Linked DNA regions of Cricetulus griseus. The protein of the gene in region 1 interacts with the protein of each later gene in a pairwise test. Links are inferred from orthologs where the notes say so. Each region holds a gene or a part of one and is shown on either strand. Other genes may lie near its edges.

The links.
Region 2: the proteins of Dync1i2 (region 1) and Dynlt3 interact in binary tests that used the Homo sapiens proteins (3 or more experiments, as listed by UniProt). The two-hybrid records come from large-scale screens. The link is inferred for Cricetulus griseus from reciprocal best matches to the Homo sapiens genes DYNC1I2 and DYNLT3.

Annotation. Positions count from the first base shown.
Region 1 is NC_048599.1:103,968,138-103,971,786, forward strand, and holds part of Dync1i2 (cytoplasmic dynein 1 intermediate chain 2), read right to left. Parts: intron 1,169-3,649; coding exon 1,051-1,168; intron 1-1,050. UniProt on the Homo sapiens protein: Acts as one of several non-catalytic accessory components of the cytoplasmic dynein 1 complex that are thought to be involved in linking dynein to cargos and to adapter proteins that regulate dynein function.
Region 2 is NC_048604.1:115,453,022-115,457,119, reverse strand, and holds the start of Dynlt3 (dynein light chain Tctex-type 3), read left to right. Parts: upstream 1-1,243; 5' UTR 1,244-1,358; coding exon 1,359-1,388; intron 1,389-3,407; coding exon 3,408-3,449; intron 3,450-4,098. UniProt on the Homo sapiens protein: Acts as one of several non-catalytic accessory components of the cytoplasmic dynein 1 complex that are thought to be involved in linking dynein to cargos and to adapter proteins that regulate dynein function.

The sequences.
Region 1 (3,649 bases):
TCAAGGATAGGCAGGGCTGGCAGGCAGAGAGTATAAATAGAAGGAGAAACGAGGAAGAAGAGCAACGAGAAAACAAAGAGAGGAAGACATCGTGGGCCAGTAACCCAGCCATCCAGACAGCCACAGAGTAAGAAGGAAAGTAAGATACACAGAAGTAAGAAAGAAAAAAGCCCACAGGGAAAAAGTAGAGGAGATAGAAACAAGCCAAGCAAAGCTGGACATTTATAAATAAGAATAAGCCTCCATGTGTATTTATTTGGGAGCTAGGTGGCTGGCCCCCCAAAAAAGCCAAAAGAGTAAAACATCTCACTACACTTCTGGTTTCTACATGCATGGCACCTACCTGCAAACACAAAAAACACACATCACACACACAAACATACAAAGATATTAGCTCAAAAACTAACCTTGAAATGCCAGGTCCCTAAAGGTCATTGTCACACTAAAATACATTTTCTGTAGCAGCACCCAACACAGAACTACATTACTTAAGTAAGCATTAAATGCTTTCTGATGTATAACTAGATCATTCTCAGTATCTCTACACAGTCTACTTGTCTAATATAACTATCAAAATGAATAACCCAGGAAAAGAACAAGACCAAGTGAAATGACTGTCAAGAGAGGCAGCCAGGATTATGCCTCTTACTGATTTGAGAGAATACTATAGATTTCTCTTCCTGCTCCTTTGCTTTTGAGTACTAGTGATATAACTTTGACTTGGTATTATCTTTCCCTAGCCTACAAAAAGGAGCTCACAGTTAAGATTAGGAAATACTCATCTTCAAGTTTAACATAGTATGGTGAATAGTAAGTTACTCATTTAAATTAGAAAATTCAATTTGGTAGCTTGGTTTGTGTTAGTAGGTATTAATCTTGATTTCTCAAACAAATAAAATAACTATACATAATATATCTGGGAAAAAAAGGAAATCCAAGCAAATGATAAGATTAATGTTTTTGAGACAAAGAACATATGCAAATGATATCTAACCAATACACTGAGCTCAGATATATCTAAGCTCAACACCCATAAGTAGATATACTTACCAATAGGGGAATCTGTAGTTAGCCCCATGCTTTGAAGCAGTGCCTCAGCTTCTCTTCTTTTCTTTTCAAGATCAGATTCTTCTTGCATAGAAACAGCAGCTTCCTTCTTCTGATCAGTCTAAATGTTTTAAATTAGAAATTCAAGTTTATGTATAACACACTCCTATTTATACAAATATTTTATTTAAAATTTTTAATTTTTATTTACATTATGTGTATAGTGTTTTGCTTGAATGTTATATATGTGCACCACGTTTGCCTGGTGCCCATGGATGCCAAAACAAGAAGCTGTGTCCCCCCCACCCCCTGCACCTCCCACCGGACTAGAGCTGTCAATGTTTGTGAGCTGCCATTTGGGTACTGGGAGTCAAACCCATTCCCCTAAGAGAGCAGTCAGTGCAACTGACCACTGAGGCATCTCTCCAGTCCCATATAAAAGTATTTTAAAATCAAAGTTATAACTACAAACTTTTAGAATAAAATTAGTTTTTAATATGAAGTTCTTTTTATAAATCATCATCACTGGATCGATGTTTATATAATATATATAATCAAGGCATTTCCACAAATATATTTTCAAAAAGGCTGGGAATGGTAGTTCATGCCTAGAATCCCAGAATTCAGTGGGCAGAGAATTTGCCCAGTTCATGGATAGCCTGGTCTACATATAAGTTCCAGATCTGCCAAGGCTACATGGCAAGAGTCTGTCTTAAAATGCATAAATAACATTTTAAAAAGCAAGTGCATTTTTAAAAAGCAGTCAACTTCAAATTCTCTATAGTATTGACACCAAGGACAGGAATCATGGAAGTCTCCAACCCTAGTGGTACAAAAGCTTAGATATAAGTGTGGCAGAAGGGAAAAATTAGAGGAAATTAAGATATAAGTAAATAGACAATTTGCTTTGTTGAAAAAAACCCAAAAGAACCATTTTTAAAAATTTCAATGAGTTTATATAAAGAATTTTATCAAAAACTCTTCTAAAGAAGCTGAAGAGATGACTCATAGTTGAGAGTCCACACTGCTCTTGCACAGGACCCATGTTCAATCCCCAGCACCCATGTCTGGCAACTCACAACACCTTTAACTCCAGCTGTTAAACTCTCTTCTGGACTCACACAGCGGTAATTAAAAAAAAAAAAAAAATCTAGAGAAAACTCATTTTTTAAGTTTTTATTATTATTTTATGTTTTTTTTTTTTTCCCCCATGCTATGCATGTTGGTCTCAACTCTATGGACTTTCGAGATCTTCCTATCTAAATCTCCCAAGTAGCTAGGGTTGCAAGCAAGTGCCACTAAGGCCAGCTTTCAGGTCATATTTTAGTAACAAAAACAAACACATATCTGGGACAATTAAAACCAATTTTTTTTTTTAAGTAACACAAAACATTTGTGTTACAAAATTTTTTACCAACTTTTTTGTTGTTGTTGTTTTGTTTTTTTCAAGATAGGGTTTCTCTCTGTAGCTTTGGCTGTCCTGGAACTTGCTCTGTAGACCAGGCTGGCCTCAAACTCGGAACTCTGCCTCCCAAGTTCTGGGATTAAAGGTGTGCACTACCACACCCAGCTGCCAACTTTTATTTTAGCCATTTATATATAATTTTAGCAAAATCTTCCAGCTACACTGGACAAATCTCAACATTTTTAGAGTAAAGTTTAAGCTTTCAGTGAAAAGCTTTCCAAGTAGACAACTATTACTTATATTGAATGAATTTTACCAGTCACAATATTTTTGTATCACATTAACTTATTTTTATCAGAATACAGCAAAAGAGACGATGTTATCAAGCTGATGCCTCACTGTGTGCAATATAGGAGACTCGCTGCTTATTGTTTCATCACGTTTTAAAGATTTTAAGTTAAAAATCAATCACATAACCATTATTCCTTAGAGGCCACTTACGGACACCTGTAAAGAATAAAAATCAACTTTGCTTTCACTATTGAATAGTTTAAGGTTATAAATACTATTTGAATCTACTCTGCCATTAGCTACTAATCAAATATCTAATGCAAAGTTTCAACCTTTTTTCTGTATATCACAGAAAGGTGGGGGGGGGGCGACAGGAAACTGTTCAATTACAGTCATGGCAATGCTGCACATAACTTTTAAGTCACTTTTCTGCCAATGCTCTTTCTCTAGTTCCTGAGAGATATCTGCTAGTCTTGTTGTAACCCTGGCATTTACATACATAAACTTTGTCCAACAGGCACACTTAGGTCAAGTTATGGTATACTGGCCATTTGAAATCATCTGTGATACAGGTAAACAAATCTTCCTCAAGAGCTGCAATAGAGACTTAATGTATAAATGTTAATGCAGGACAAGTAAAATATGTCCAGCTCAGAGCTAATGTATATTTGTAATATTTATATATTACAGTATGTGGTAAGTAAAATCAGAAGATTAAAGTAGCTTATTGATACTATCAAATCTACTGCTCAGTAAATATATTTCCGTGACTATCTCACAATAAACATTAAGTATATCCAAATCCTCTACTCAAACTGTTATATATAGCTCAGTTTGCCAGGATATTATTCTAGCAAATTAGCAAAAGTATTTACAAAATGAATTTATTATGATAAACATATATTT
Region 2 (4,098 bases), on another chromosome or scaffold:
CTTCAGCCCCAATTACAATTTTTTCCAGTACTCCTGCATGAGCCATAATAGAGAACCATTAAAACAAAACCCATGCCATCAAGTTAACAGCTCTATTTGATTCTAAGTTCTTACATAGAGAGTGGTGAATTGGGGGACCTGGGATTAATGAACCCAAGGGTTCAGTTAACAGCTGTATAGGCTTTACAAGTCACTTCATCTCTCTTTAACTCCTGGTTTACTTGTAAAATAAGAGAAAGGGATTAGAAAACTAATGAGCCTTCTGACTTTGCTACTGGAGAACAAAATAGAAGTCACTGTAGTGGGCTGAATGTTGCTCTATACCAAACACATCCACATTTGAATCCCAGACCCTGGGAATGCACTAGTTAACTTGCATGGCAAAAAGCATTTTTGTGGATGTGGTTAGCACGTATACCTCGAAAATTATGAAATGATATTTTGTTGCTTTAAACCATTGTATCTGTGGTTATCTATTATAGCAGTAACAGGAAACTCACAGTAGTGTTGAAGCCCTTGAGCTTTGCTATCAGAATATAGTATTTGAACTGATAGACCTCTTCTAACACATTCTGTATGTAAGGCTTTGGGCAAGTCATTGAAAATCTCTGCATTCTAGCTGCATCTTTAATACGGGGACAAAGGGAGTGCAAATCTCAGTTACTTGGAATTTGAAGAAAATCTCAGAATCAGCCACAATTTAGTAGTCCTAAAATAAATGTAAACAGAGTGCTCCTGCTAAGGTTTATAATTCAATTTAGGGCATTTGCTCCTGTTTCAAAAGTTTTATATTTCTTTTTTAAAAAAAAGTCTTGAAAGAAGAGGAGCATCAACTTTAGTTGTGTAGAGTATCTTTTTGATCCTTATAACTAGTTACAAAATAGAGGCTATTGTCTACCATTTGAGAAAATTGAATTCGGATGTTTGTTCACTTGCTACATTCATTTGCTGGATAGCTGTGGATGAAAATTGTGTGCATAGGACCACAGCAGTGATACCTAAATCACTTGTGCTGAATCTAGCCTGGCTGACACAAGGTCACCCTAACAAATCCCCACAGATGCTGTTCCAGCTCTTTACTTTCAGAAGACAGGCATGGTCAGATGTGCATTCTAGGCCTAGGAGCTACCCGTAGCTGCGTTAAGAGGATCAACTCAACCAAAGCCCCTCCCCCCTGACCTTTGGCCCCCACCCCCTCCCGTCCTTGGAAGGTTGCTTCAGTGCGACACAAAGGCGGGGCCTACGTAGACAAAAGCCCTGGGCCAGAAGTGGAGGCGGGGCCTCATGGGAGGTCTGTGAGCCGCTGCTGAGCTCTCGACCAGAGCTTTGCTCCGCCCCCGGGGACTGCCAAAGCCACCATGGAGGAGTACCACCGGCCCTGTGACGAGGTACCGCCCCTCCAGAGCCGGGAAGCGCCCCTCGCCCTGGTTATGGGGACGCTATCGGGTGGTCTCTTAATGCTTGCAGAGTTGGGATGCGGAATCCCGTGAACCTGAGTCTGCTCCGCAGGACCGGGATCTTTCTTGCCCCTCGGCTCTCTGTCTCCCCAACCCTGAAAGCCTGAGGGTGGGCTAATTGGTCATCGCGATGGCCTGGGTGACAGAAAGCTCTCGGGGGCAGTCTGCAGGGTCTAGGAGGACCCAGTCGGTGTAAGGGGGAGGCCTAACTTGAGGTGCCTGGGCGGGCGTTGGCGAGCCCCGCCCGTCTGCGATCTGGGCCTGGGAAACCGGTTTTTCTCTGTTTCCTCCACCCTTTTGGGTCTCCTTGAGCCGCCGGTGCTGCAAGGTGGCTCTGGTCTTGGGAACTCTCCCCAGGCACGACTAGAGGAAGTGCTTTAAGAATTAAGAGCCCTTGCTCACTGATTCAGGTTTCCCTAAGCCTCACCAGAACTCTATGATGTCAGTGATTTTCCTGTTACTGATGGGAACTCTGACTTTTCATGGCGACCAAGTGACAGGTCCTAAATTAAAACTGCTAGGAGTGACCAATGTTCCATTGGAACCCAGGTGTCTGACTTTACACTTCAGCCCATATTTCAGGATGAGGCCTGTTGAATTGCCCCACAACCTATAAGAGTTTACAAGGACGGAGTAGACAGACATTTTCTGTCCAGTGGTAGCCACTGGTGAGTGATACAAGAAAATGAAAGATGAGATGGTGCAGGCACAATGTAATATGATCTTTGTAAAGGGCTTGTCCAAAGGGTGAGTTTCTGCAGAAGAATCTGTGTTGCAGAGAGCATGCATATGTATAGGTCAGTCACATACTAAAGTTAGAATTAAGGACTTGTCCCCCAAATTACATGGTTAGCTCTTTCTCAGATTTACCTCTTAGCAAGGGTGCAAGGGAATCTTTTCTGCACTACTTCCTAAATACATGTAATTTTAAAAGAAATAGGAATGGAGAGATAGCTCATAGGTAGAGTGCTTGATTAGCACATTAGAAGCCCTGAGTTCCATCCCCAGCACCAGAAAAAAAGATGGAAAACCAACATACATTATTCGTGTTTTCCTGGCCAACTAAACATTCCAAATTGTAATGAAATGTGCATCATTTATTTCTTAGGCCAATTTTGGGTGTGATTTTGAAGCAAAAATGACTATAACAGGTCTAAAATATGAGACCTCTTTTCAAAGCTCCTCTAAGTTTGTAGGGGGTGGGAAATTTTATAGGATAATTAGTAGAGTTAAAATATGAAAAATCTATACTTAAAACATAACTTTAGAATTTACTTATTTCAACTAGTTTTAAGTTGCATAATGGCTTTTGGAAATCATATATTAACTAAAGCATCCTGGTTTATATTTTGTTCTTATCACGTAACCTAATTTTACACTTAAGGACACTTAGGTATCATTGAAAATTGCAATTAACCCACGATTGTAACAAGCTGCTACCCCAAAAATGAGAGACCAACTTATACAATTAAAGTGACATTATTTTGAATGGCAGAGTATTGCCATAATCTTTAATTTGGAAAAGCAGTGGGTTTGTCTCATATCAGTTGAAAATAAAATTGGCAATGACAATTTAGCATACTCTTTTTTTATGGGCCACTTGATCTACCTGAAATGATTTCCTGTATACTGATAGCACACAATAGAAATCATAGCTACTGCCTGCTAATTTCTTGAGCTTTGCTAATGCAATGATTATCTAGAATGTTCATTAGAAGCGCTGTTGTGAAAGCACTTTTCAAAATGGTATTTGCGTATGGCCTGCCCAATCATAATGAATCTGAAACTACAGGGAGCAGGGTTAGCAACTCAGGAGACCTGATGTCCCTAGCACTGTGGTCTTCTGTCACTATCACTTTCTTAGGCCAGCTGAGGGCATCCTGTATCTCGCCATATCTATAAATAAAGGGAAGCCTTACTGAAAGCAGTTTTATCGTGTTTTCTCTTTAGGTTGGCTTCAATGCTGAAGAAGCACATAATATAGTCAAAGAGGTGAGTTATATTTGCTGTTATCTCCAAGCTTGTGTGGATAGAAAAAAATTATATCCAGGTTTTGATTTTTCAGGTCAAAGCTAGAAATATTAATGATCAAACACCAAGATTTAAAATATTTATTCACTCTTTGTAGGGGTGTGTGTGTGGTCTCTTGCATTCAGGGAGGCCTATTTGGACCTTCTCTGAAAGACATGCTGAAACAATGTTTCAAGTCTGCAAAAAGTAAAGAAGCTCTTTTTTGAATCAATTTTAGCTAAGGACCTTTACTGATTCTAGTGTTAGCAATATAGACCAGCCTGTGGTTATCAATATAGCCTCCCCTGGGGTGTGAGGTTATTAATATAGACTACCCTGGCGGTGAGGTACTTTAAGAACACTCTTACAGCCCAGAGTCATCATTAACTCTGCCAAATCATAGGTAAAAACGCTGAGTTGGCCCACAAGGCTTGCTTTAGTTGTGGGTGTGGCTCTTGGGGCCTATGTCCTAGCAAGCCCTGATTGAGTTCTGTCTGGGCTGCATTGGCCCCACCTTCTGGGCATTGTGTGCATATGTGCCACCAATTCACCTTGCACAAGTGCTCTAAGGGCATCATTTTATCCAGAGCTCAGCTGGCCTGACCCTGTGTGAGTAGGACCAGCTCGACAT